4 linked regions of the Oryctolagus cuniculus genome follow. The protein of the gene in region 1 binds, or shares a complex with, the protein of each later gene. Links are inferred from orthologs where the notes say so. Each region holds a gene or a part of one and is shown in the gene's direction. Other genes may lie near its edges.

Evidence for each region. Proteins that work in one complex are often made in the same cells at the same time.
Region 2: VIRMA (region 1) and CBLL1 share a complex: the UniProt entries of both Homo sapiens proteins name them as parts of the WMM complex. The link is inferred for Oryctolagus cuniculus from reciprocal best matches to the Homo sapiens genes VIRMA and CBLL1.
Region 3: the proteins of VIRMA (region 1) and ZC3H13 are in contact, whole or in part, in a cryo-EM structure (PDB 7VF2), measured with the Homo sapiens proteins. The link is inferred for Oryctolagus cuniculus from reciprocal best matches to the Homo sapiens genes VIRMA and ZC3H13. Residues at the interface, in NP_056311.2 of Homo sapiens: Leu521, Ser529, Tyr531, Gln532, Leu535, Glu536, Ile538, Leu539, Leu540, Asp541, Val544, Val547, Thr548, Ser551, Leu554, Gln555, His558, Glu561, Val562, Ser564, Glu565, Lys567, Gly570, Asp571, Ala574, Glu575, Thr577, Ser578, Glu621, Glu625; in NP_001317494.1 of Homo sapiens: Pro1492, Leu1493, Asp1494, Val1495, Ile1496, Asp1497, Val1498, Asp1499, Trp1500, Ser1501, Gly1502, His1507, Leu1518, Lys1520, Phe1521, Pro1523, Val1526, Met1527, Arg1529, Val1530, Gly1531, Ile1532, Ser1533, Lys1535, Leu1536, Ala1537, Gly1538, Leu1541, Lys1544, Val1545.
Region 4: VIRMA (region 1) and METTL14 share a complex: the UniProt entries of both Homo sapiens proteins name them as parts of the WMM complex. The link is inferred for Oryctolagus cuniculus from reciprocal best matches to the Homo sapiens genes VIRMA and METTL14.

What each region holds. Positions count from the first base shown.
Region 1 is NC_091437.1:119,894,209-119,900,211, reverse strand, and holds part of VIRMA (protein virilizer homolog), read left to right. Parts: intron 1-950; coding exon 951-1,103; intron 1,104-1,561; coding exon 1,562-1,722; intron 1,723-3,219; coding exon 3,220-3,316; intron 3,317-4,510; coding exon 4,511-4,677; intron 4,678-5,106; coding exon 5,107-5,438; intron 5,439-6,003. UniProt on the Homo sapiens protein: Associated component of the WMM complex, a complex that mediates N6-methyladenosine (m6A) methylation of RNAs, a modification that plays a role in the efficiency of mRNA splicing and RNA processing.
Region 2 is NC_091434.1:136,460,185-136,466,187, reverse strand, and holds part of CBLL1 (E3 ubiquitin-protein ligase Hakai), read left to right. Parts: intron 1-956; coding exon 957-1,124; intron 1,125-5,051; coding exon 5,052-5,152; intron 5,153-5,581; coding exon 5,582-5,665; intron 5,666-6,003. UniProt on the Homo sapiens protein: E3 ubiquitin-protein ligase that mediates ubiquitination of several tyrosine-phosphorylated Src substrates, including CDH1, CTTN and DOK1. Targets CDH1 for endocytosis and degradation.
Region 3 is NC_091440.1:65,026,574-65,032,576, reverse strand, and holds part of ZC3H13 (zinc finger CCCH domain-containing protein 13), read left to right. Parts: intron 1-873; coding exon 874-1,037; intron 1,038-6,003. UniProt on the Homo sapiens protein: Associated component of the WMM complex, a complex that mediates N6-methyladenosine (m6A) methylation of RNAs, a modification that plays a role in the efficiency of mRNA splicing and RNA processing.
Region 4 is NC_091439.1:46,487,419-46,493,421, reverse strand, and holds part of METTL14 (N6-adenosine-methyltransferase non-catalytic subunit), read left to right. Parts: intron 1-659; coding exon 660-776; intron 777-2,020; coding exon 2,021-2,231; intron 2,232-5,963; coding exon 5,964-6,003. UniProt on the Homo sapiens protein: The METTL3-METTL14 heterodimer forms a N6-methyltransferase complex that methylates adenosine residues at the N(6) position of some mRNAs and regulates the circadian clock, differentiation of embryonic stem cells and cortical neurogenesis.

The sequences.
Region 1 (6,003 bases):
GCTCAGCACCAGCAGTTGCAGCCAGTTGGGGAGTGAACAGCAGATAGAAGACCTCTCTCTGTCTGCCTCTCCTTTTCTTTCTGTGTAACTCCGCCTTTCAAATAAATAAATAAATCTTAAAGAAAATGAAGAAGTTATTTTTTTAAAAAAGTAATTTTTATTCAGCCTTCATTGACATTTGATGAGTTATAGGACAAATGATGTGAGCTCCAAACAAAATTTGTGCCCATTTAAAAATATTAAATCCTGCATGTTGATTGGTGGTATACGTTTATGTTCTGAGTTTTGAAAAACCATACTGCTTATGAGCCATTTTAAAGCAGGGCTATATGCTGAGGATTTGAAACTACTGGTAGGTGGATAAATGGCTTTCTATTGTTAAGTGTTCTTTCATACGTGGCAATATGGGTGATTCGTTTTCATTAACTAAGATTTGTTTTGGGGGATAGATTTTGTAGTATTGAACTGTTTAGCACTCCAAAAATTCTTTTGTTATGTAGCTTACATTTTTAAAGCAGGAAATAGTCACTTTTTTGTGTGACGGTCTTGAATATAATAATTACTGTTTTCTTTACTTCATTCCTAGAAAGATAGTTTTGTATTATGTCAGTTCTTAGTAGTAGCAGGCATTTTATTGCCTTAAGTATCAAGCAGTGTGTTACCAGTGCCAGTGTATTTGCCATTGGATATTTTTGTTGGAAATTTTCGTGCCAGTAAATTGCATATGTGTGTTTGCCTATCTAATTTGTGAGTCTTTAAAACTTATTTCAGCTTTGAGCTGACTAAATCCTTCTTGCAATAATTAAATTTAAAACTAGCCATTTGTGCTGGTGTAGAACCAAAATGTTGAGGTGAAGTTTGCAGCAAGTGGCTTAAATAACTGAAAAAGTTAGGAAACATCTTTGCAAATTTCTCTGCTCTCAAATTTAACTTGTGTGTGACATTTACAGGGATGTTGTGGAGACGATAGTGGTCTCATGGAAGTAGATGGAGCTCATCCATCACGGACGATGAGTATTAATGCTGCAGAGTTAAAACAGCTTCTACAAAGCAAAGAAGAAAGTCCAGAAAATTTGTTCCTTGAACTAGAGAAGCTTGTTTTGGTAAAAAAGAAAAACAAAAATAAAAACAGAGCATTCCTGAGACGTATTTTTTTCCTCTCAGTTTGACTAGTACAACTTTTCATAGTGACCTTTTCAAATAGTGAACTGTTAGTTGAGTATCTATGCCGTTTTGAACTAATTCTTTGAATTAATAATTTGGAGTGAAGCCCTCTGTATTGTTGTGAATCTTAAGGAGTAAATGAAGGCATTACTTTCTGAATTGTCTATCTTTGGATGCAGGGTACCCCCTACTGCCATTGTTTAGAAATAAAATGATAAGTGCTTTTGGTTTTGTTTTATTTATTATATTTAATGTTAAGTCGATAATTTCTTAATGGTGCTCCAAATCTCTTTGAAGTGAAATAATACTGCCTTTTCTGATAAAGAGTGAGTAGATTAAGAGCTCAAGTGTTCATGGTTCACCTGCACCTTCTTATCCTGCTTTCTTTTGTGTCTAGGAACATTCAAAAGAGGATGACAATCTGGATTCTTTGTTGGACAATGTAGTGGGACTTAAGCAGATGCTGCAGTCATCAGGTGACCCTTTACCTCTCAGTGACCAGGATGTGGAACCAGTACTTTCAGCTCCAGAATCTCTACAGAATCTATTTAACAATAGGTAAGATAAGCAAGGTTTTGTGATTGAATAGATACTGTTTATATAATGGTTGAATTTTATAGAGGGTCAGCAAGCTTTCTGTCTTGCAAGTTGAAATCAGTGTGGTTCACTGCATTTCAGGCTGAAGAGACTGATACAGATCTAGATTTGGTATAAATTATTTTATTACAAAATATTTACCAAAAAGTTGTTAATATTTTTTGCTTGTGTGTTGTTAGCAGCATCATAGTAGTTTACATATTATATGTGACTGTTGAATTCCACTTGGGGACCGGTAGTACTGCATTATTCTTATGTCAGCTGCCCACTTAATAGCATCCAGAACTATCAGTCTTTTTTTTTTTTTTTATGGTTTTTTTTTTTTTTTTTTTTTTTTTTTTGACAGGCAGAGTGGACAGTGAGAGAGAGAGAGACAGAGAGAAAGGTCTTCCTTTGCCGTTGGTTCACCCTCCAATGGCCGCCGCGGCTGGCGCGCTGCGGCCAGCGCACCGTGCTGATCCGATGGCAGGAGCCAGGTACTTATCCTGGTCTCCCATGGGGTGCAGGGCCCAAGGACTTGGGCCATCCTCCACTGCACTCCCGGGCCACAGCAGAGAGCTGGCCTGGAAGAGGGGCAACTGGGACAGAATCCGGTGCCCCGACTGGGACTAGAACCCGGTGTGCCAGCGCCGCAAGGCGGAGGATTAGCCTAGTGAGCCGCGGCACCGGCCCAGAACTATCAGTTTTTATACAAATTCTAGGCTTTATAGGCCATGCAGTCCTTTGCTGCATATTCTTCTGTAGATTCTTTCTTTTCTTTTCTTTTTTTTTTTTTAAGAAAAATCCTAAAAGCATACAAACTCTGCATAGTTTATAGGCAGACAGGATAGGCAATGGTTTATTAATCCCTGGCCTAAAGAATATACTTCTTAATCTGTGGAGCTCTATACTCATAAGGATCATTTGATGTAATAGAATTACTCTCTAAATTTAGAAAAATTAAGTATGAGCAGATTCTGCACAATTGGTATAATGCAATAAGCTTGCCTTTTTGGAATTAAAATTAGTGTTGCTGAAGGTCAAAGTTTGTTATAGTAAGACTAGTTTCTCAGTTATTGGTTTTGGAAGGTACTTAGTTCTTGAATAGTTCCATATATATATTTATTTATTTATATTTATATTTTATTTGAATGGCTTTTTTTTAACTTTTATTTAATAAATATAAATTTCCAAAGTACAGTTTATGAATTACAATGGCTTCCCCCCCCCATAAGTTCTTTTTTTTTATTTAATAAATGTGAATTTACAAAGTGCAACTTTTGTATTGTTGTGGCTCCCCCCCAGCCTCCCTCCCTCCCGCTTGAATGGCTTTTTGAAGAAGTCTTTTCAAGTGGTAATTTTGGTAAAACTTCTGCGGATAATATTTTTAATTGTACCATCCATAGATTTTCCTTAGAAGGTAAGCCAAAGTGTTTGATTTTGGTATTTTGCTTTTTACAAATGCTTTTTGTGTTCTAGGACTGCATATGTGCTAGCTGATGTCATGGATGATCAGTTGAAATCAATGTGGTTCACTCCATTTCAGGCTGAAGAGATTGATACAGATCTAGACTTGGTATAAATTATTTTATTACTAAATAGTTAAAAAAGTTGTTAATATTTTTGTTTGTATATTGTTAGCATTATAATTGTTTATGTACTATATGTAAGTATTTGAAGTCCACTTGGGGACCAGTAGTACTACATTATTTTTAGGCCAGTTTCCCACTTAATAGCATCCAAAACTAACACTTTTTTATACTTGTTATACTTCTGTTTAGTTAGTGATTTTGTATGTGTTTATTTTATTTTATATTTAAAGATTTATTTATTTTTATTAAAGGTAGAGTTACAGAGAGAAAAAGATCTTCCATCCACTGGTTGACCCCCCAGTTGTCTACAATTGCTGGGGCTGGTTCAGGCTGAAGCCAGGAGCCTGACGCTCCATCTGAGTCTTCCCACATTGATAGTAGGGGCCCTAACACTTGGGGTATTCTTCACTGCCCTTCCCAAGTACCTTAACAGGGAGCTGGGTTAGAAATGGAACAACCAAGGCAATTCGAGTCCTGGCTGTTCCACTTCTGATCAGGCTCTCTGCTATGGCCTAGGAAAGCAGTGGAACAAAGCCTAAGTGCTTGGGCTTCTGCACCCGTGTGGGAGACCCAGAGGGAGCTCCTGGCTCCTGGCTTCAGATCGGCGCAGCTCCGGTCGCTGTGGCCATTTGGAAAGTGAGCCAGTGAGTGGAAAACCTCTCTCTGTCTCTCTATGTCTGTAACTCTGCCTCTCAGATAAATAAATCTTAAAAAAAAATTAAAAAAAGTTAGTGTTCATCATGTACAATAAAACTGATAGAATGATTTGTTTCACATTTAAGGTGCATTTATTTTAATTTTTTTTTAAGATTTATTTATTTATTGGAAAGGCAGAGTTACAGAGAAGGAAAGGCAGATGCAGATGGCTGCAATGGCCAGGGCTGGTCCAAACCAAAGCCAGGAGCCAGGGGTCCATCCAGGTCTCCCATATGGGTGCAAGGGCCAAGTGCTGGGCCATCTTCCACTGCTTTCCCAGGTGCATTAGCAGGGAACTAGATTCGAAGTGGAGCAATCAGGACTCGAACTGGCACCCATGTGGGATGTCAGCATCACAGATCACAGATGGCGGCGTTACCCACTAAGCTTCAGTGCCAGCCCCAAGAATATGAATTTCCATGATCAGATGTTACACTGGTAGTTAATTTAAGATGTCTTTTGTTTCATTTTTATGACTACAGGTAAAGGTTGACTTAATCGAGCTCTCTGAAAAATGCTGTAGTGACTTTGATTTGCACTCAGAATTAGAGCGCTCATTTTTGTCAGAACCGTCATCTCCAGGGAGAACCAAGACTACTAAAGGATTCAAACTTGGGAAGCACAAGCATGAGACCTTTATAACTTCAAGGTAAAAATTTATTCCACTGAAGGTCTTGATTATGATCACATAAAGCTTTATTTCATTGTATTTAAGATGGAATCATTTGCATAACATTTGAATCATTAATATTGTTTGTATTAGTTTTAAAGATAATAATTTGGCCAGGACTTAGCCAGTACATTAGTAATATTGTTCTTTGTGAGCACTTAAAAGGTATGAATAAGAAGTAAACTGGATTATTGTAAAACTTTTAGTGATATCAATAAAATATGAGTACCATTCTTAGCTAGTGTGTTGTATTATGCTGGGAAGTATGCTGGGAAGTAATATATATACTTGCAAAATTAATGGAATTAGAATAAGAAAAAATTGAAATCCAGATTCACTATTTATTGTATTTTCACTGGAAATATGAAGAAACGGAAATTTTCTAATGGAGTATTTTTGTTTTAATAGTGGAAAATCTGAATACATAGAACCTGCCAAACGAGCTCATGTTGTGCCACCACCAAGAGGAAGGGGCAGGGGAGGATTTGGACAGGGTATACGACCCCATGATATTTTTCGTCAGAGGAAACAGAACACAAGCAGACCACCATCTATGCACGTGGATGACTTTGTCGCAGCTGAAAGTAAAGAAGTGGTCCCTCAAGATGGAATACCCCCACCCAAACGGCCACTTAAAGTTTCCCAGAAGATTTCTTCTCGTGGTGGGTTTTCAGGCAATCGAGGAGGACGTGGTGCTTTTCACAGTCAGAATCGATTTTTCACACCACCTGCTTCAAAAGGTAACTGCATTTCTAATAGGCTAGCATATTAAAATATTGAGTGAAGTGACTGAGGAGATTGAGATAAAGTATTTGCACTATTTGCAGAGTACTCTGGTGGGTAGGAAAAAAAAAACCACACATACTTTTTGGGTTAACTTCTGATAAGGTATACTTTTACTGGGAATTTAAAAGATGTCACAGGTAATTATTTTCCTTTTAACATTGAGAATTTTATTATTTTTTATGTAAATACCATTTTCACATTTGTACTTCTCAACAATTTCCTTAAGATTATTTGTGTAGTTCATAATTGATTCCTTTATCACCTTGCTTCTTACTGTTATATTCAGTCTGTTTTAAGTTGTTTGAAGATTTTGAGACTATTTGATATAGTTAAAGAAACTATGCTTTTACTAGTGGATTGATGAGCTCGAAAGGTGACAGTGAAAGAGAATATGAATTTGGCATTAATAACAAACGCTTACATAGGTGTGTCGGGAAGTGTTACAAGTAATGCAGATATGGTACGCTCACATTAACCCCACAAGGTAGGTCGCATTAGTACTCCTTCTTTACTGAAGAT
Region 2 (6,003 bases), on another chromosome or scaffold:
TAATAGGTGTTGGTATTTTCATCACTCACAAAGGCAAAACCATTAAGAAACTTTTTAGTATCTGATGGGCAGTGTTAAACTGTTATCTGTCTACAGCAACTTTTTTTTTTCTTTCCTGTATTGTATCTTTTTATGTACCTGAAAAAAGGCAACACTTAATGCTTACCATGGAGTTGGTTCCGTGACTGATGCTCCTATTGGTCAAGGAACATGGGAATTTATTTCATGGGTAAAACGCAAGCAGAGACTTCAGGAAGTGACAAGTCATTTAATAAAAAACTGTCACTTGTTTAGACCTAGTTGAAGTCCAGAAAGCTTGCTCCCTCCTAAAATTATAATTTCCCATTCAATACTAAGAGTAACTCAGTCCCATATATATCCCTAGAAATGTTACAGCACAAATACATTTTAACATGTTTGTGTTACTCAGTGCTATAAGAATTTTTGCTGTGTTCTTGAATGCTTTCTACACTTCAGGAAATAATCACCTTCCTTGAAACTAGCTTCCATTTTTAGATTCATTACTTACTTTTGCTTTTGTCGCTGTTAGTTTTGTGTTTCCCTTTTAGTTTTCTAAAGTTCTTGAGTGCTTGCTTTGCATGCTTGAGATCAGTCAGAGAAGCAAGGTGGTTTTGATACTTTTCTCCTCTCAAATCTTTTTACTTCAAGACAGAGGTTCTTTCCTTGGGTTTATGGAGGGTTTGTGTTTCTGTGAACTCCTCTAGAATGAAAATTTTATTGTTCAGGTTATGTAACTTTTATTTTCAGGGGCTCCCTATATCAAAAAGGGTTAAAAAAAAAGCATAGCTTTATCCAAAATAGAGAAAATTAGTGGTTAATACAATGTGTAAAATCAGAACCCAGGTCTCTAAGCCTTGATAGTGTTTGGTACGTTGTATTGTGGCAGAAGAGTCTAAAAAGCTAAAGGAAATTATGACTTTTTTTTCCCTTAACAGACAATGAGTTACAAGGCACTAATAGTTCTGGATCGCTGGGTGGTCTTGATGTTCGAAGACGAATTCCTATAAAGCTCATTTCCAAACAAGCCAACAAAGCTAAACCTGCACCTCGAACTCAAAGGACTATAAACAGGATGCCTGCAAAGGCTGCACCTGGTGAGGAAGGTAATTTGTTTAAACTGCTAGGTCTAACAGCCCTTCTGGTTTATCTGATTGCACTAAAGGAGTCCCTGTGATTTTGTTGACTTAGTATAGCCACTTCTTTTTTTTTTTTTTTAATTTTTTTTTTAATTTTTTTGACAGGCAGAATGGACAGTGAGAGAGAGAGAGACAGAGAGAAAGGTCTTCCTTTGCCGTTGGTTCACCCTCCAATGGCCGCCGCGGCCGGCGGCCGGCGCACCGTGCTGATCCAATGGCAGGAGCCAGGAGCCAGGTGCTTTTCCTGGTCTCCCATGGGGTGCAGGGCCCAAGCACCTGGGCCATCCTCCACTGCACTCCCTGGCCACAGCAGAGGGCTGGCCTGGAAGAGGGGCGACCGGGACAGAATCCGGCGCCCCTACCGGGACTAGAACCCGGTGTGCCGGCGCCGCAAGGCGGAGGATTAGCCTAGTGAGCCGCAGCGCCGGCCGCCACTTCTTTTTTTAAACTTTACCTTCTGTACTCTTTCTTCAGCCTTTTTGTTGACTTCTGTTTTGGCATGTTTTGCTTTTTTCTCCCTGTATAAATACTTTTGATTTGTTTTCTTTTGTTGTTGGCAGTAACATTGTCCCCCCCCCCCCCAATCTAAACAGTATTGCAGAAAACATGACACTAAAAGTAAATGTCTTTCTCTTCTCACAATCCATTTCTTCAAAGATAATCCCTATTAAGACTTTTTTAGCTTCTAGCATTGCAAGTCCCCACTGCTCCACTTCCAATCCATCTCCCTGATGAGGCATCTGAGAAAACAGCGGAAGATGGCCCAGGTACTTGGGCTCCTGGTACCCATGTGGGAGACCAGGGTGGAGTTCTAGGCTCCCTAATGTGGCCATTTGGGAAGTGAATCAATGGGTGGAATCTCTATAACTTTGCCTTTCAAATAGATAAATAATTTAAAAAAGACTATTTATACAGAAATATTAATTTTTGTGTAAAAATGCCTTTTTAAAAAAAACATTTATTTTGTATAACTGTCTTTAAAATGTTTTGTATATAACTGCTTCTTAAAACCGTATGCATTTGAGATTTTGTGTTAGCATATACAGAGATAACTTCATTTGCAGGAATAGGTTTAGGTACTTCATTATGGCTAAACTACAATTTATTTAAAAATTTTTCTGGAGTTCTAAGAACGTTGGAGCAAATATCTTTGTGTAGAATTTGCACTTTGTACAAATTTGGACATTTATTTATTTATTTGAAAGGCAGAGTGTGGGAGTGAGAGGTAAATGTATTCTATCTGCTTATTCACTCCCCAGAAGTGTGCAGTAGCTAGGGCTGGGTCAGGCCAGAAGCTGGGACCTCCATCTGGGGTCTCCCAAGTGGTAGCAGAGACCCAAGTACTTGGGGCATCATCTGCCATTTTCCCAGATGCATTAACAGGAAGATATATCAGAAGCAGAGGAGCCAGAGACACAAACCTGTGTGGGTGACACAAGCAGCAGTTTAACCCCCTCCTGCATCACAGTGGCCACACCATAGACTTTTAAAAACTTTGTAATTATTCTTCAAAAAAGGTATATTTGTTTATACTTCTCCACACCAGTTTTGGGTACTATTAACCTTTAAACATTTTGATTTTGATTTACAATTCTCTAATCATGGTTGAGGTTGAGTATCTTTTCATAATATTGGTCTTTTGCTTAGGATCTTTCTGTTCATATCCTTTCCCCATTTTTCTGTTTGGCTGTTTCTCTTGATTTTTGAGTTCTTTTTAAATTAATGAAATTGACCCTTTTTAATATATTGTGTATATTCCCCATTTGCCTTTTGAATTTTGTCTATAAATTTTTTATTGTAGAGAGGTTAAACATTCTATGCAGTCAGATATCCAGTGTTTGTTGTTATGACTTCCTGGATTTATGACAGTTTTAGAAAGGCCTTCCCCTATTCTGTGCATATAAACTGGTTTTCCTCTCATCTGTCAGTACAAACTATGACCTGTGGGGCAAATCTGGTCCTGTTTTTATAAAGTTTTATTGCAAAACAGCCATGCCCATTCATTTCAGTATTGTCTGTGGCTGCTCTCATACAGTAGTGGTAGAGCTGAGTGTTTGTGGTTATGGACCATGTGGCTCACAGAGCTGAGAGGATTTATTGCCTGGCTTTTTACAGAAGAATTTGCTGACCTCTGCTTTGGATCTTTTAAGAATACGTATGTGGTTATTTAAAAAAGCCAAAAGTGGGATCTGGCTTTCTGTTTTTTCCTCCAAAACAGCTTGTCATTGTCCCAATCATTGAATAATCTTTTCCTTGCTGCATAGAAAACCCACCATTATTGTATATTAAAGTTCTAAAAGTATTAAAGTCTGTTTTCTGGTCTTTCAAAGTATTTTCATGAACTTATAGTGATGTACAAGTACATTCTTGTAATGCAGGAAAAGCTAAAAATTCTCCCTGCTACCTCTTTTCTCTAAGTTGTTTTCCTCCTCTTCTCAGGGTCATGGCTTTTTTTTAGAGGGAACTACTCTTACTCCTTTCTCTCTTAATAGAGCAACTTGAGGCTGAAGACAATCATTGAATACTTTAGACTTAACCTGTTTGGAGTAAAAGAAAATTATTTTTTTCCCTAGGGATTGATCAAAATATGGAGTTTTGGGTGTTAGTACATCTCTATGGATATTTAGTTTAATGAGAAGAATACAGGTTGAACTACTCTGAAAAATTATAATGTGCTCTTCATTTATTTGGCTGTTGATCTCCATAATTTTCTGCATTTGAAGAATTGACAATTTTTCTTACTTTGAATTGTGGATGACACCACCTTTGATAAGGAATGGGCCATATAAGACTGTAGGTACACTCAGGTGTAATTTATAAGATCAACTTTACTTTGAACTGTACATCTATATTGGAAGTAGTTAAATAGCAGTATATTGGAATATCTCTTATCAACTTCAAAAAATTCTTGCATCACTATTGTCTGTGTGTGTGTGTCTATCTACCTGCACAGGTACTGTAAGTTAGCCATGTGGGTAAAGTTGAAGCTGTGTGCTTTGGCTACTCTGTTTACCAGTTCTAGGGCCAAAAGAGTCGTGACAAGCCTGGCACCTTGGAGAGATATATTTGTCTTCTCAGCTTTACTTTAGGTAATTGGATTCTACCTAGAATTCTCATCAGACTGTTCACCGGTTTTCTGTTCTTTTGTGTAAAATGAGAAAATTGCCACCAACTTTTTAATGAGACCAGAGAAATTGAGCCAACTTGATCTTCAACTGGTCTTAAGTTTATTAATGTTGATATATGCAGTGTAGGACAGGATACTTGTAAATATCATATGGCTCCTGCTGATTGGGGATTAACCAGGAAGAAGTTTTAAAATGAAAGGGTGAAGAATGAATTTGTTGATGTTCCAAAATCATGCTCAGATTAGAGGTGAAGGGAAAGTATAATTTACTAAGTAATAAGAAAATCCGCAGAATTCTTTGTTTTCATTATTTTTACAATAAAATCAGTCTCTTGCAGCATACCATATTTGTAGATAGATTAGAATAAGTGATGGTCAATGTCATTAAAATTTTGTGCAACAAATGATGATAATGGTAATCTTGAGGTTTTAGACTAAAGATAGTCTGTTGAATTGATAGAAGCACTTGAATAGGTGTCAAGAGATCTGAGATCTGTTCCTGGTCCTGCTGCTGACCTTAATATGTTACATTATTGTGGATCTCCATACTGTAATAGTCTCAATTATGAAGTATTAGAGTTGGTCAGGTAATCACCAGTTTTACTTCTAGTTGATATTTTAAACTAGTCTTCATTATTTTGTTCTTAGAGGAGCTTTGAAAGTCATCAGGTGGGCTTTCCAGTGAATAGGCCTACTTTGTCCTGTGTGTATACTTCTCAAATGAAATTTGAGGTTTGAAGTTAATGAGTAACATTTTGTTTTCTCAGAAGGATTTGATTATAATGAAGAGGAACGGTATGACTGTAAAGGGGGTGAACTGTTTGGAAATCAGCGAAGGTTTCCTGGACACCTTTTTTGGGACTTTCAGGTACGATTAAAAACGAAAACTTTCATTAGACCAATAAAATTGGTATTAAGTACTTAAAATGTGGTATTAGAACAGTGTAGAATATATAAGGGGTATCTTTTACAAGCTTTTGTTAATGTTATGACTTTTAACACAAACATCATTTGTTTATAATGAGTGCCCTACTTTGACTATTCCCAAAAATAATTTGAAATCATTTTCAGTGAGGTCAAATGTGATTGATAACTCTTAACTATTTAAAAATGTAAACTAACGGTGGCACAGCTAATGCTGGTGAATATGTGGGGATTATACCAAGAAACCTTTATTTCTAGTTGTTTTTAACAACTTTTATAAAGTACCAACCATTTACTATTGATAGAGTGTTTAGCATTGTGTTATAGATGCAGTTTTTAGGATTAAGGGAATTTAATTATGTCATTTCAACAGATAAACATCTTAGGTGAAAAGGATGATACACCAGTTCACTTCTGTGACAAGTGTGGATTACCTATTAAAATCTATGGACGAATGGTAAGCATAATTAAATTAAATACTGTTTGTAAATGCGTGCATTTGTGTCCAGGTAGAATTCTGAAATGTATTAAGTAGATACAGTTAATCATTATCTAATGACTGAGTTTGTGACATTTTAATTTAAATAAATATGAACTAGCTAAGAGAAGTACTTGGTATGCGTGACACCAGTTTATATTTATTATACTTTTTTAAGGAAAGATTTTTTTTAAGATTTTATTTATTAATTTGAAAGAGAGGGAGAGACAGAAAAATCCTCATCTGCTGGTTCACTCCCCCAGTGACCAAAACAGCTGGAGCTGGAACAATCTGAAGCCAGGAGCCAGGAGCATCTT
Region 3 (6,003 bases), on another chromosome or scaffold:
TGAAGTTCAGCCATGTTGTACTCTCTAAGGAGGTTTGCAAGTGTGTATTTTGTATCCTTTTAAAACCAGAAGAAGAAAAAAAGATTCCGTAAAAAGAAAGTTAGTCCTAAAGTGCAATTTTCATGGAAGAGCTTATGTTCAAGGCAAATTTCTTCTGTAATTATATATGTAATAAAATAGTATTTGATGCTCTTTTTATTTTTTTGGATAGGTTTTTTTTTTTTAAGATTTTTTTTAATTTGGAAGGCAGTTATAGAGAGAGATGGAGAGAGGAGCAGGGGTAAATGAGTGGGATCTTCCATCTGCTGGCTCACTCCTCAAACGGCCACAATGGCTAAGGCTGGACCAGGTCAAAGCCAAGAGCCTGAAATTACATTCAAGTCTCCCACATGGGTAGTAGTGGCCCAAGCACTTGGGCCATCTTCTGCTGTTTTCCCAGGTGCATTAGCAGGGAGCTAGATTGGAAGTGGAGCAGGCAGGACTTGAAACTGGCACACCTATCTGATGCTGGCGATGTAAGCAGTGACTTGACCTGGTACGCCACGCTGCCCCTGACTTCAGTGATTCTCAACCTGAACTTTACTTCTTGGTCATAGTGCATAATCAATGCCTAAATCCTGTTTCCCAAGTCTACTTTTCTTATATCTTAAACAAATTTAAAATGACTATCACAATTCTTAATTTTGTTTAAGACTAATAATATAACTGAATGGTGAAGGTCCTTCACAGAGGAAATATTGCCTTTAATATGAAATAATTTTCACCATTGTTGCTAACTTTGATAAAGTGTAGACTTTATGCAGTATTCACTTGAATCATTGGTAACATCTTCTATTTTAGGAAAACTTAATGTGTGCTTATGTTTGTTGAAAGATGCAGATAATCTCTTTGAACATGAATTGGGGGCTCTCAACATGGCTGCATTGTTACGAAAAGAAGAAAGAGCAAGTCTCCTTAGTAATCTCGGACCGTGCTGTAAAGCTCTGTGCTTCAGGCGAGACTCTGCCATCCGCAAGCAGCTGGTTAAAAATGAGAAGGTACAGTGATTTCCTTGGAAAACATGTGAAGTGAATAATGTGAATGGCATATTTTCCATTTGATTGCTTTAAAGAATCACAGCCTTACCTGTTTTTATGAGTTTGGTTTACTAGTCTTATACACATGTGAAAAAAAGAGTTCTGTTAAAGTTTGTGATATTTTTATCTTATTTCAATCATATTAATGAATAATTGTTTTAGATAACAGTTACTTGTTAGAAAAAGTCATGCACTTAAAAATGTGTAAAATATTCTATTTCTATGAAATTAATTTGTGAAAAGCTTCTGTAGATAAGTAAACGTTATTAGAAATTTATTTAAGTTGAATATAAAAAGAAACATTTTCTGGAGTTGTGAGGGTAGTGGAGTGTTTTTTTTTTTTTTTTTTTTTTTTTTTTTTTTTTTTTTTTTTTTTTTTTGACAGGCAGAGTGGACATTGAGAGAGAGAGACAGAGAGAAAGGTCTTCCTTTGCCGTTGGTTCACCCTCCAATGGCTGCCGCGGCCGGCGCACCACGCTGATCCGATGGCAGGAGCCAGGTACTTATCCTGGTCTCCCATGGGGTGCAGGGCCCACGCACTTGGGCCATCCTCCACTGCACTCCTTGGCCACAGCAGAGAGCTGGCCTGGAAGAGGGGCAACTGGGACAGAATCCAGCGCCCCGACCAGGACTAGAACCCGGTGTGCCGGCGCCGCAGGCGGAGGATTAGCCTAGTGAGCCACGGCGCCAGGCGATAGTGGAGTTTTTTGAGGGATTTGTTTATTTATTTTTAAAGGCAGAGTTACAGAGAGGGAGATCGTCTATCTGCTGGTTTACTCCACAGATAGCCACAATAGCCAGCGCTGGGCCAGACTGAAGCCAGGAGTTGGGAGCTTCATCTAGGTCTCCTTCTGGCGTGGCAGGGGCCCAAACACTTAGGCTATCATCTGCTGCTTTTCCCAGGCATTTTAGCAGGGAACTGAATCGAAAGTAGAGCAACCAGGACATGAACTGGAGAATGAACCAGCAGGTGGAAGATCTCTTTCTCTCTGTCCTTCTCTCTGTGTCACTCTGCCTCTCAAAAAATAAATTAATCATTATAAAAAAAAAAAAAAAGAAAAAAGAAAACTGATCCTAAAAGGTTAGAAAAACATTAACCTACTAGCTTTTTACTAGAGGCCATTAAGAAAACAGAATTGTCTTTGGATATATAACAATGCTGAAGTAACTGATACTTCATTTATGAAAACTACTCAGATGCAGAGGATTAAATTTATACAAACAAGAAGAATTCATCTCCAAAGATTAAAATGGAAATGGCTATGAGGCATGGGAGACTTATAAAAATATCAAGTCTTAGGTTTATAACCACCAAATCTACCTTGCTCAAAATTACTGATGACAAAATTGCTAAGGTCATCCTCCTTTGCTTCTCTCATTTCATTTGTATTTCTCCTTATTCTGTTGCCTACATACTCATCTCTCCTTACATCCTTTCTCACCTAGACATTTCTCTGAGAGAACTAAGCTCCCAGTATCCTAAACATGTATATAATGAATCACCTTCTCTTTTATGTATCTAGAATCGTTCCAGATATCACCATCCTGACTATTAAATTGAAAAATATTCATTCAAATCATTTTCTGTTTGGTTCATATAAGGAATCTCAGTTGAAAAGGACTGTATAATTTCTAATCTCATAAAAATTCTAACCTCCTTTTTAACAGTAATAGATTATAAAATACCCTGATTCTTCCTCTATTGTACCATGGTGCCCCTTTAAAATTGTGGCAAACAAAAGCACCTTGAAAATTTCTCATTGAGCACCATTGTTCAGAACCTTATAATCCTCCAGTGTAAGTCATAGACCATTAACATTCAGTAAGTTTTAATAGCACATTGTAATGTCTTAAACAATCCATCTGAAGAAAGTACCATAAGCTTTCTGATTATTCTGTTAAAAACATCAGCACAAAAGAGGAAAAAGACACAATTAGGCTGGCGCTGTGGCTCACTTGGTTAATCCTCTGCCTGCGGTGCAGGCACCCCGGGTTCTAGTCCCGGTTGGGGCGCCGGGTACTAGTCCTGGTTGCTCCTCTTTCAGTCCAGCTCTTTGCTGTGGCCCGGGAGGGCAGTGGAGGATGGCCCAAGTGCTTGGGCCCTGCACCCACATGAGAGACCAGGAGAAAGCACCCAGCTCTTAGCTTCGGATAGGTATAGCACTGGCCGTAGCGGCCTTTAGGGGAATGAACCAACAGAAGGAAGACCTTTCTCTCTGTCTGTCTCTCACTGTCTATAACTCTGTCAAAAATAAATAAATAAATAAATAAATAAATAAATAAATAAAGAGAGGACACACACACACTACATAGGAAATCCTCTGAGAAATGCTCTTAGAGGCTACGCATTAAAAAAAAGGATACAATTAAAGAAGAGTAATTTCAGATGCTAGACAGCCTCATGAAATATCCTAGGAAAACCAAATAGAAGCATTTAAGTTATATATGGTTATAAAAGAAAAGTCCAAAAAGGGGTCATGCATTGGGCTAACTGGTAGATTTTTTTTTAAGAGGTTTTTATTTTATTATTTATTTGAGAGGTAGTTACAGACAGTGAGAGAGAGACAAAGAGAAAGGTCTTCCATCCACTGGTTCACTGCTGGAGCTTGACCGATTGGATGCCAGGAGCCAGGAGCTTCCTCCAGGTCTCCCACGCAGGTGCTGGGGCCTAAGCACTTGGGCCCTCCTCTACTGGTTTCCCAGGCCATAGCCGAGAGCTGGATTGGAAGAGGAGCAGCCAGGGCTCAAATCTGTGCCAGATGGGATGCTGGTGCATAGATGGAGGATTAATCTGCACCACAGCACCAGCCCCCTAGACTCTTAGCAAGTGACAAAAAATGGAAAATCATTCAACCTACCCATTGAGATTGTGTCTGTTTAGGAGAATGATTTTTAAATATAGAAACTATAGTCCATATCACAAGAAATAGGTGAAGGATATTAAGAGAACACTTAAAAGCTTTAAATGTGCAAACTAAAAGAAGGCAATTATAAAGAGCAGAAATCAATGAAATTAAAAATAGGGAAACATTAGAGAAAAGTAGTGTCACCAACTGCTGGTTCCTTGAAGAGATAAATAAAATTGAGAACTCCCTAATCAGACTAACCAAAAAAAAAAAAAAAAAAAAACCACAAATTGTGGGAATATCATTACAGATCTCACAAGTAATAAAAAAGAAAATAAGGGGATATGAATAACTTAATAAACATGAATTTGGCTGGCAAGTTAGAAGAAATAGATAAATTCTTCTAAAACCACAGACTACCAAAACTTAATGAGTAAGTAATGAGCAACCTGAAGAGTCATCTCTATTTTTTAAATATAAAACTGTAGTCCCAGGTGATTGCACTGCCAAGATCTACCAAAAAAACATTTAAAGAAAAAATAACACCAATTCTCTGCTATTTCTTCCAGAAAATTAAAGTGGCAGAATCATTTCCCAACTTATTTTATGAGGCCAGAATTGCAAACACCTGACTAGATTTAAACTGGTATCTCTCATGAAACTAGGCATAAAAATGCTCAAAAATGTTAATAAATCAAGTTCAGTGATACATTTTTAGCCTAGGATTAAAGGAATGCCTCAGTATGCTAGAATTATAATCAACCATATTAACAGAAGTAAGAAAGACAAATATATTGATCATATCAATTGATGGAAAAAGCATTTGAGAAAATTCAACGTTCCTTTGTAATAACTCTTAGCAAGCTAGAATTAGAAGAGGTCTTTACAAAGGACATGTACATAAGACCCTCAGCTAACATCTTAGGTAATAATGAAAGTTTGAATGTTTTGTCCCTGAAGTTGGGAACAAGAAAGGATGTCCAGTCTCACTGCCCCTATTCAGCCTCATACTGGAACTTCTAGCCAGTTTGATTAGGCAAGAGAAAGGAATTGCATATATATAGATTGGAATGGAAGAAATAAAACTGTGTGTCTTCTCAGGTGACATGATTGCCTGCATAAAAGGTTTTAAGGAATTTGCCAAAAAATTCCTAGATCTAGTAAGAGTTTAGCAAAGTTACAAAATACAAGGTCAGCCTATAAAAAAAGTAGTTGTATGTTTGTATACCAGCGGTGAGCATCTGGATACTAAAATGTTAGGAAGCAATACTCCAGCTTCCCCACAAATGAAGTACTTAGGTATTAAAGAAACAAGAAAAAGAATCTTGCAAGATCTAGTTGTTGGATACTCAAAACAGTGATGAAAAAAACCAAGGACCTAAATAACTGAAGATTGAGACATCATATTCATGGAGTTGGAGACTCAATATAGTTAAAATTATGCTTCTCCCTCACATAAATCTGCAGAGTTAACACAATTTTTAGTAAAAAACTAAAGAGGATTTTTTTTCTATAGACAAGCTGAATCTAAAATTTGTGTGAGGTCTAAAGGAACTAGCAAAGCCAAAATAATTTTTACAAAAGAAGAATAAAGTTGGAAGATTTGTACTACTCAGTATCAAGACTTACTGCAAAACTATAGTATGTAAGATAGTACAGTGTTAGTAAAGGAGTAGAAATTCAGATGAGTGGAACAGAAAAGGGTCCAGAAGTAGACCCACACAGATACGATCTGTCAACTCAAGGGGTTGGTGTGGGGAGCTATACAAATTGTTTCTTTTAATTAAGTTTTCATTTTGAGATAATTGTTCTTTGTCAAAATTTAAAACATATTCTCTAAAGTATACTGGTAAGGGAATGAAAATACAGGCATAGTAGAAATATTTGAAATTCACATTTTTTTTTAAATTTACTGATTCATTTGTAAGGCAGAGTGACAGAGAGGGAGAGGCAGAGAGCAAGACAGATATGGTTTTTCTACTGGTTCACTCCCCAAACGCCCGTTGCATCCAGGACTGGGCCAAGCCAAAGCCAGGAGACAGGGAACTCCATTCAGGTCTCCCACATGGGTGCAGAAACTC
Region 4 (6,003 bases), on another chromosome or scaffold:
GTCCACTTGTCTGTCAAAAAAAAAAAAAAAAAAAAAAACCTGCAAGGATTTTAAAATGTTTTTGCACCAAAATAAACTGATCATTTAATTCTAATTTTCCACAGACATTTTCAAGTACTCACATGAATATATTCTATATTATGGCTGTATACATATTTATTTTTTAAAGATTATTTATTTAATTTTTTTTATTTGGAAGGCAGAGTGACAGGGGGAGATAAGAGAAAGGGATCTTCTGTTCTCTGGTTCACTACCCAAATGCCTGGAAAACCAGGTCTGGGTCAGTCTGAAGCCAAAAAAACCAAGAACCCTATCTGGGACTACCAAGTAGGGTGTCAGGAATACAAACATTTAGGTCATAATTTGCCAGCTACCAGATGTGTTAGCAGGATGCTGAATCCGAAGCAGAGTTGGGACTCAAACCTGTGTACTCCAACAAGGGATAAAATTGTACAAAGTGGTAGCTTAACCTGCTGCACACCAGTGTCTGCTTCAGGCTATTTGGAGACTAGCATTTCTTATAGTTCTCCACTAGAACAAAACAAAAACCATTTTGACACTTGGGAATTTAGTGTCTCAAGAAAATTGTTTAATGCTGGTTGGTTATTTGAAGTATGGATTAAATGAAGCATTTCTTTTCGTTTATTTTTTATTTTTAGTGTTTACGCAAGTGGGGTTACAGAAGATGTGAAGATATTTGTTGGATTAAAACCAATAAAAACAATCCTGGCAAGACAAAGACTTTAGACCCAAAGGCTGTTTTTCAGAGAACAAAGGTATTGCCTTTTCTGTTTTGTTTTGTTTTTCTCATTATTTTCTTTCATACTTTTCCAAATTTCTGTATACTGTTCAGTTACTTTTGCTGGAAAAAAAGTCATTTTCTTCGGCTTGTAAAAGTAGCCTTGAGCAGTATAAGAATATATCCAAGTTGGTTTAAAATGTTTTATTCACTATCTTAGATCAGTCTCCACCACCATGCTGGAGAGGGAAATATATATGTTCCTGTATGTCTTACACTGCTGTATTTATGCATTACATGCGGGCTTTTAATGCTCCTCATACCCTGAATTTTTTTTTGTTTTGCTAGGTTCAGAAAGAAGAGATATCAGCAAAAGTTCATAGCTGGCCAGTTTACACTTGTTTCTTCTTCTGTTCTTTTTCCTACTGAAGAACTTCTGAGAACTTCTGCTTCATGTTGATTCTGCTTTGCTAGTATCAGTCTTTAACCGCCTTTGCTCTTTACTCTTTAGGGAGCCAGTGGTGGGATTTCTTACTTGTTCTTACTTGGGGTTGGAATTATAGCTATGTAACAAAGTTTCCAAAAGAACAGGGTTTGGAGAGCTTCTGGGTTGGTGAACCTATAGAGTTGCTGGGGGAACATGGTGCACCCAGAGAGAGGGCCTGGAAGCTCCACATCCCTTCTCCTGTACATTGCCCTAAGCATCTCTTCCATCTGGCTGTTCCTGAGTTACATCCTTATACAATAAACAGGTAATAGTAATTAAAGCACTTACTGAATTTCACAAGCCACTCCAGCAAGTGATTGAACCCGAGGAGGGGGTCTTTAGACACTCCAATCTGTAGCCTCTCAGTTATAAAAGCACACTGACAAGTCGTGATTGGTATCTGAAGTTGGGGGTCAGTCTTGTGGGACTAAGTCCTTAACCTGTGAGGTACACACTAGGTATAGATTGTGTCAGAATTGAACTGAATTATAGTGTCTGAGGAGAAGTGTAGTTACTTGGTGCGTGAAAACCCACACATCTGGTGTCAAAGAGCTGTCTTCTGAAAGTACTAAATGTAGAGTGAAAAACTGCTTTTCCTGTTTGCCTGACAGTCTTTCTACAACCATCCAGATGTTTCTAAAGTCTGTCCTCTTTTTGCCCACAGAACTATATCCCAAAGATTTGTAGAAATAAGGATTGTTTTGGAACTGAGGAAATCAGAAGTATAAATAAAATGTTATGAGGTAAGATTATTGATAAGAAAAAAAATTAATTGGTCTGTTCTTCTTATTTAGGAACACTGTCTTATGGGGATCAAAGGAACTGTGAAGCGTAGCACAGATGGGGACTTTATTCACGCTAATGTTGACATTGACTTAATTATCACAGAAGAACCTGAAATTGGCAATATAGAAAAACCTGTAGAAATTTTTCATATAATTGAGCATTTCTGTCTTGGTAGAAGACGCCTTCATCTGTTTGGAAGAGATAGTACAATTCGACCAGGTATGACCTCAATTTCAACAACAAAAACAACTTTGATTCTTTGAGATATGGTTATAAAGGAATCAGACACAGGGTGGTATAAAGTAAAATTCTTATGTATTTGAGTCATCTTCTTGCTGGACTTCAAATGTGAATAATGTTTGGTTCATACAAAAATTGAGAGGAAGTTCCTGAGATTTCCCATAAACTCTGTGCCCTAGACTCTCATCATCTCTGTTACCATTGCCACCCCCACCACAGTGATACGTTTGTTACAACTGGTAAGTCTACATTGACGAGTCATCACCCTGGTCTGTAGTTTACATTAAGGTTCACTCTTGGTAGTCTGTGTTCTGGGGGATTAGACAAATGTGTGAGGACATGCATCCCCCATTGTTGGATCACACAGTATGGTTTCACTGCCCTAAAAATCCTGTGTGCTCCACTTATCCATTTGCCCACCCCTCAAATCCCTGGCAGTCTTTTTATTGTGATTCTGTCTTTTGTTCTTGTTCCTGTGTTGTTAAAATTGTCTATATAGTATGTGACCTTTTCAGATCAGCTTCTTTCATTTAGTAATAGGCATTTAAGGTTCTCCCCTGCCTTTCCATGGCTTGAGAGCTCACTTTTGAATCGTATCCTACTGTCTAGTTGTACCCACTTTATCCGTTTACTTACTGAAGGACACCTCGGTTGCTCTGAGGTTTTAGCAAGTAAGAATAAAACTGCCATAAATGCCCGTGTACAGGTTTTGGTGTGGATGTAAGTTTTCAGCTCCTTTAGGTAAAAACCAAAGAGAATGATGGCTGGATTATATGGTAAGAATATGTTTAATTTTGAAAGAAACTGCCAAATCCTATCTCCTAAAGTAGTTGCACCATTTTGTTCCACATTCTCACCAGCATTTGGTGTCAGTGAGGCAAATACACCCTGAAGCCTGGCTGTTTTAAGCTTGCTCAGTGCTTGGTAATACCTTTAGAACACAAGGTTACAGTGAAGAATTTTGGGGAGAAAGAAATCCCTTGGGCTTATATAACGAGTTTACTTTGCAAAGATTCACAAAGAGGTAGTGTGGCAGGAGAGAGGCAGTATTAGTTCTTTTTAAGTTTTCTGTTCTCTTGTTTGTGGTATTGCAGCACTACCATAGATATCCTGAAACAAAAAACTAAAAGGAAGCAAATAAAACTCTAACAGGGTTGAGCATTTGGCCTAGTGGTAAAGCTGCCAGTTGTGACGCCTACATCCCTTATAGGTGCCTTTGAGTTCCTGCTCTGCTCCTAATTCTAGCTTCCTGCTAATGTGCGCCCTGGGAGGAGGCAGATGATGGCTCAAGCAGGTGGAAGACCTGGATTGAGTTCCTGACTTCCAATTTAGCAACAGGCTTGGGAGGACATTTGGGAAGGAAACCAGCAAATGACAGCTCTCTATCTAGCATGTGCTCTTTCTGCCTCTCAAGTAAAGCGTGTAGATAAACTTTCTAAAATATCTCATAGTTTCTGTAGTCAGTGAGACAATATAGGTGAGGAATGTGCTTCTCGATCTAATGTGTCTTCTCTACTTCTCTGGTGTCTCCTGGGTGCCACATAAAAGGCACAGTGTGATTTTCCTGATATTCTTGCAGATATTATAAATCTTATTAAGTCATTCTTAGGTACTAAGTTATTTTTTAAACAATGGAAAAATATTTTACAAAAGTGGCTATAATATTTTAGAATATTTATAATATTCTATATCTGTAATTTTTAATAAAATATATTATAAAATTTTATGTATTTATAAAATATTTAAAAGATATTTTATAAAATATAATATTTTAGAATACGAGCTTAGAAAAATATTTTTCATTTTAGAGCATTTTATGGGAGGTCTTATTTTAAGAAATAATATTGGGGCCGGCGCTGTAGCGTAGTGGGTAAAGCCACCACCTGCAGTGCCGGCATCCCATATGAGCGCCAGTTCAAGTCCCAGCTGCTTCACTTCTGATCCAGCTCTCTGCTATGGCCTGGGAAAGCAGTAGAAGATGGCCCAAGTCTTTGGGCCCCTGTACCCATGTGGGAGACTGGGAAGAAGCTCCTGGCTTCTGTTCTGGCTCCTGGCTTCGGATTGGCACAGCTCTGGCTGTTTCAGACATCTGGGGAGTGAACCAGCGGATGGGAAGCCTGCCTCTCTCTCTCTCTTTCTCTTATCTCTCTCTCTCTCTCTATAACCTTGCCTTTCAAATAAATAATTTAAAAAAATCAAGATAATGGTACAGAGATATGAACCTAATTTTACAGATAAATAACATGATTCCTAAAAGATTATTTGTTCTGTCCCAGTGGATCTCATGTCTCTTATAACACTCATAAAGCATATTTCCAGGATTTTCCTAAAGGTCATGCTAGTTACAAGAATCACCACTCCAAAGGAACTCCCAGAGTATAGGCATTGGTAGTTATTTCTCAGCCCTTCTCCTTCCAGATATAATGTAATCAATTAGCAATGTAGCTTACAAATAAAAAAACCTTTTTACCTACAATGTCTAATGGAAATTCTGAAGAAAGAGATGTAATTTTATGTAAGCAATATATTTGAATTGGATGTTGCATGGTGAGGTTTTCGGCTGATTGACAAAATAATGTGAGCACAAAAGTGGTTTGTATGGAAGTAGTCATCGTAGTAGTTTATTGTTTGCTTAAAAAAAAGATGTTAGTTAAAAAATAGTTGATGAAAAGCATTGATGACAAAAGTGATTGGAAAGTTCATTATAAAAGATTTTTTGGCTTTATGAAAAGGATTAGAATATTTTTGAACAGAGAAGTGACACGTTTTAAGCTTTCATTTTTCAGTTTTAGAGAGGAGAAACCATAAGCTGAGAGATGATTACATATATGTGTATGTCTGTTCCATGTGTGTGGCATGGTGGAGAGCTGTCGTTGTAGAAACAAAGGCTTAAAGAAGAGTATGGGAGGAAAAATGGAAAAGTGGGAGTAAGTAGGAACAATATGGTGGTGATTGAATTTCTAGGACCTGTCAACTCAGAACATTTTGTGGTTGGAAAGAACAGAAGTTGGTTCAGGATTTTAATCAGATAACAATGGTACTATTTTTATGAATAGGAAAGTTGTAATTAATTTTTTTTAAAGATTTATTTATTTATTTGAAAGAGATACAGAGAGGCAGAGGTAGAAGCAGGATCATTTCCTAAATGGCTGTTACAGCCGGCGTTGGGCCAATCAGGAGCCAGGAGCCAGGAGCTTCTTCCAGGTCTCCCATGCAAGTGCAGAGGCCCAAGGATTTGGGCCATCTGCTGCTGCTTTCCCAGGCCATAGCAGAGAGCGGGAGCGGAAGTAGAGCTGCCGGAACTCAAACCAATGCTCATATGAGATGCTGGCATGGCGGGTGGCAGCTGTACCCACTATGCCACAGCACCATCCCCTAATTTATTACATTTTTCACTGAGCCCAAACTTAGTGTAATGTGTAACATTTTTTTCTAAGGGCTATTCACAGAATGTAGAGACATAGATGGAGACAATGAGGAAGATATATTGTAAAAATTACAGTCTACAGGGAGAATCAAGATTATAAATAGGAAGTTTTCAAAATATGACCCATGATAAAGTGCTGTTCATTCTTTAAGAGATCACTATTGGGTTGGTGATAGGAACATCTTTAAAAGAATGCATTGGGGATTTGAACTAGCCCCTAAAGAATCAATAAGAGAAGAGAGGGTTGCAAATAAAAAGGATAATATTTTTCTCCTCCATTTCAGGCTGGCTCACAGTTGGACCAACACTTACAAATAGCAACTA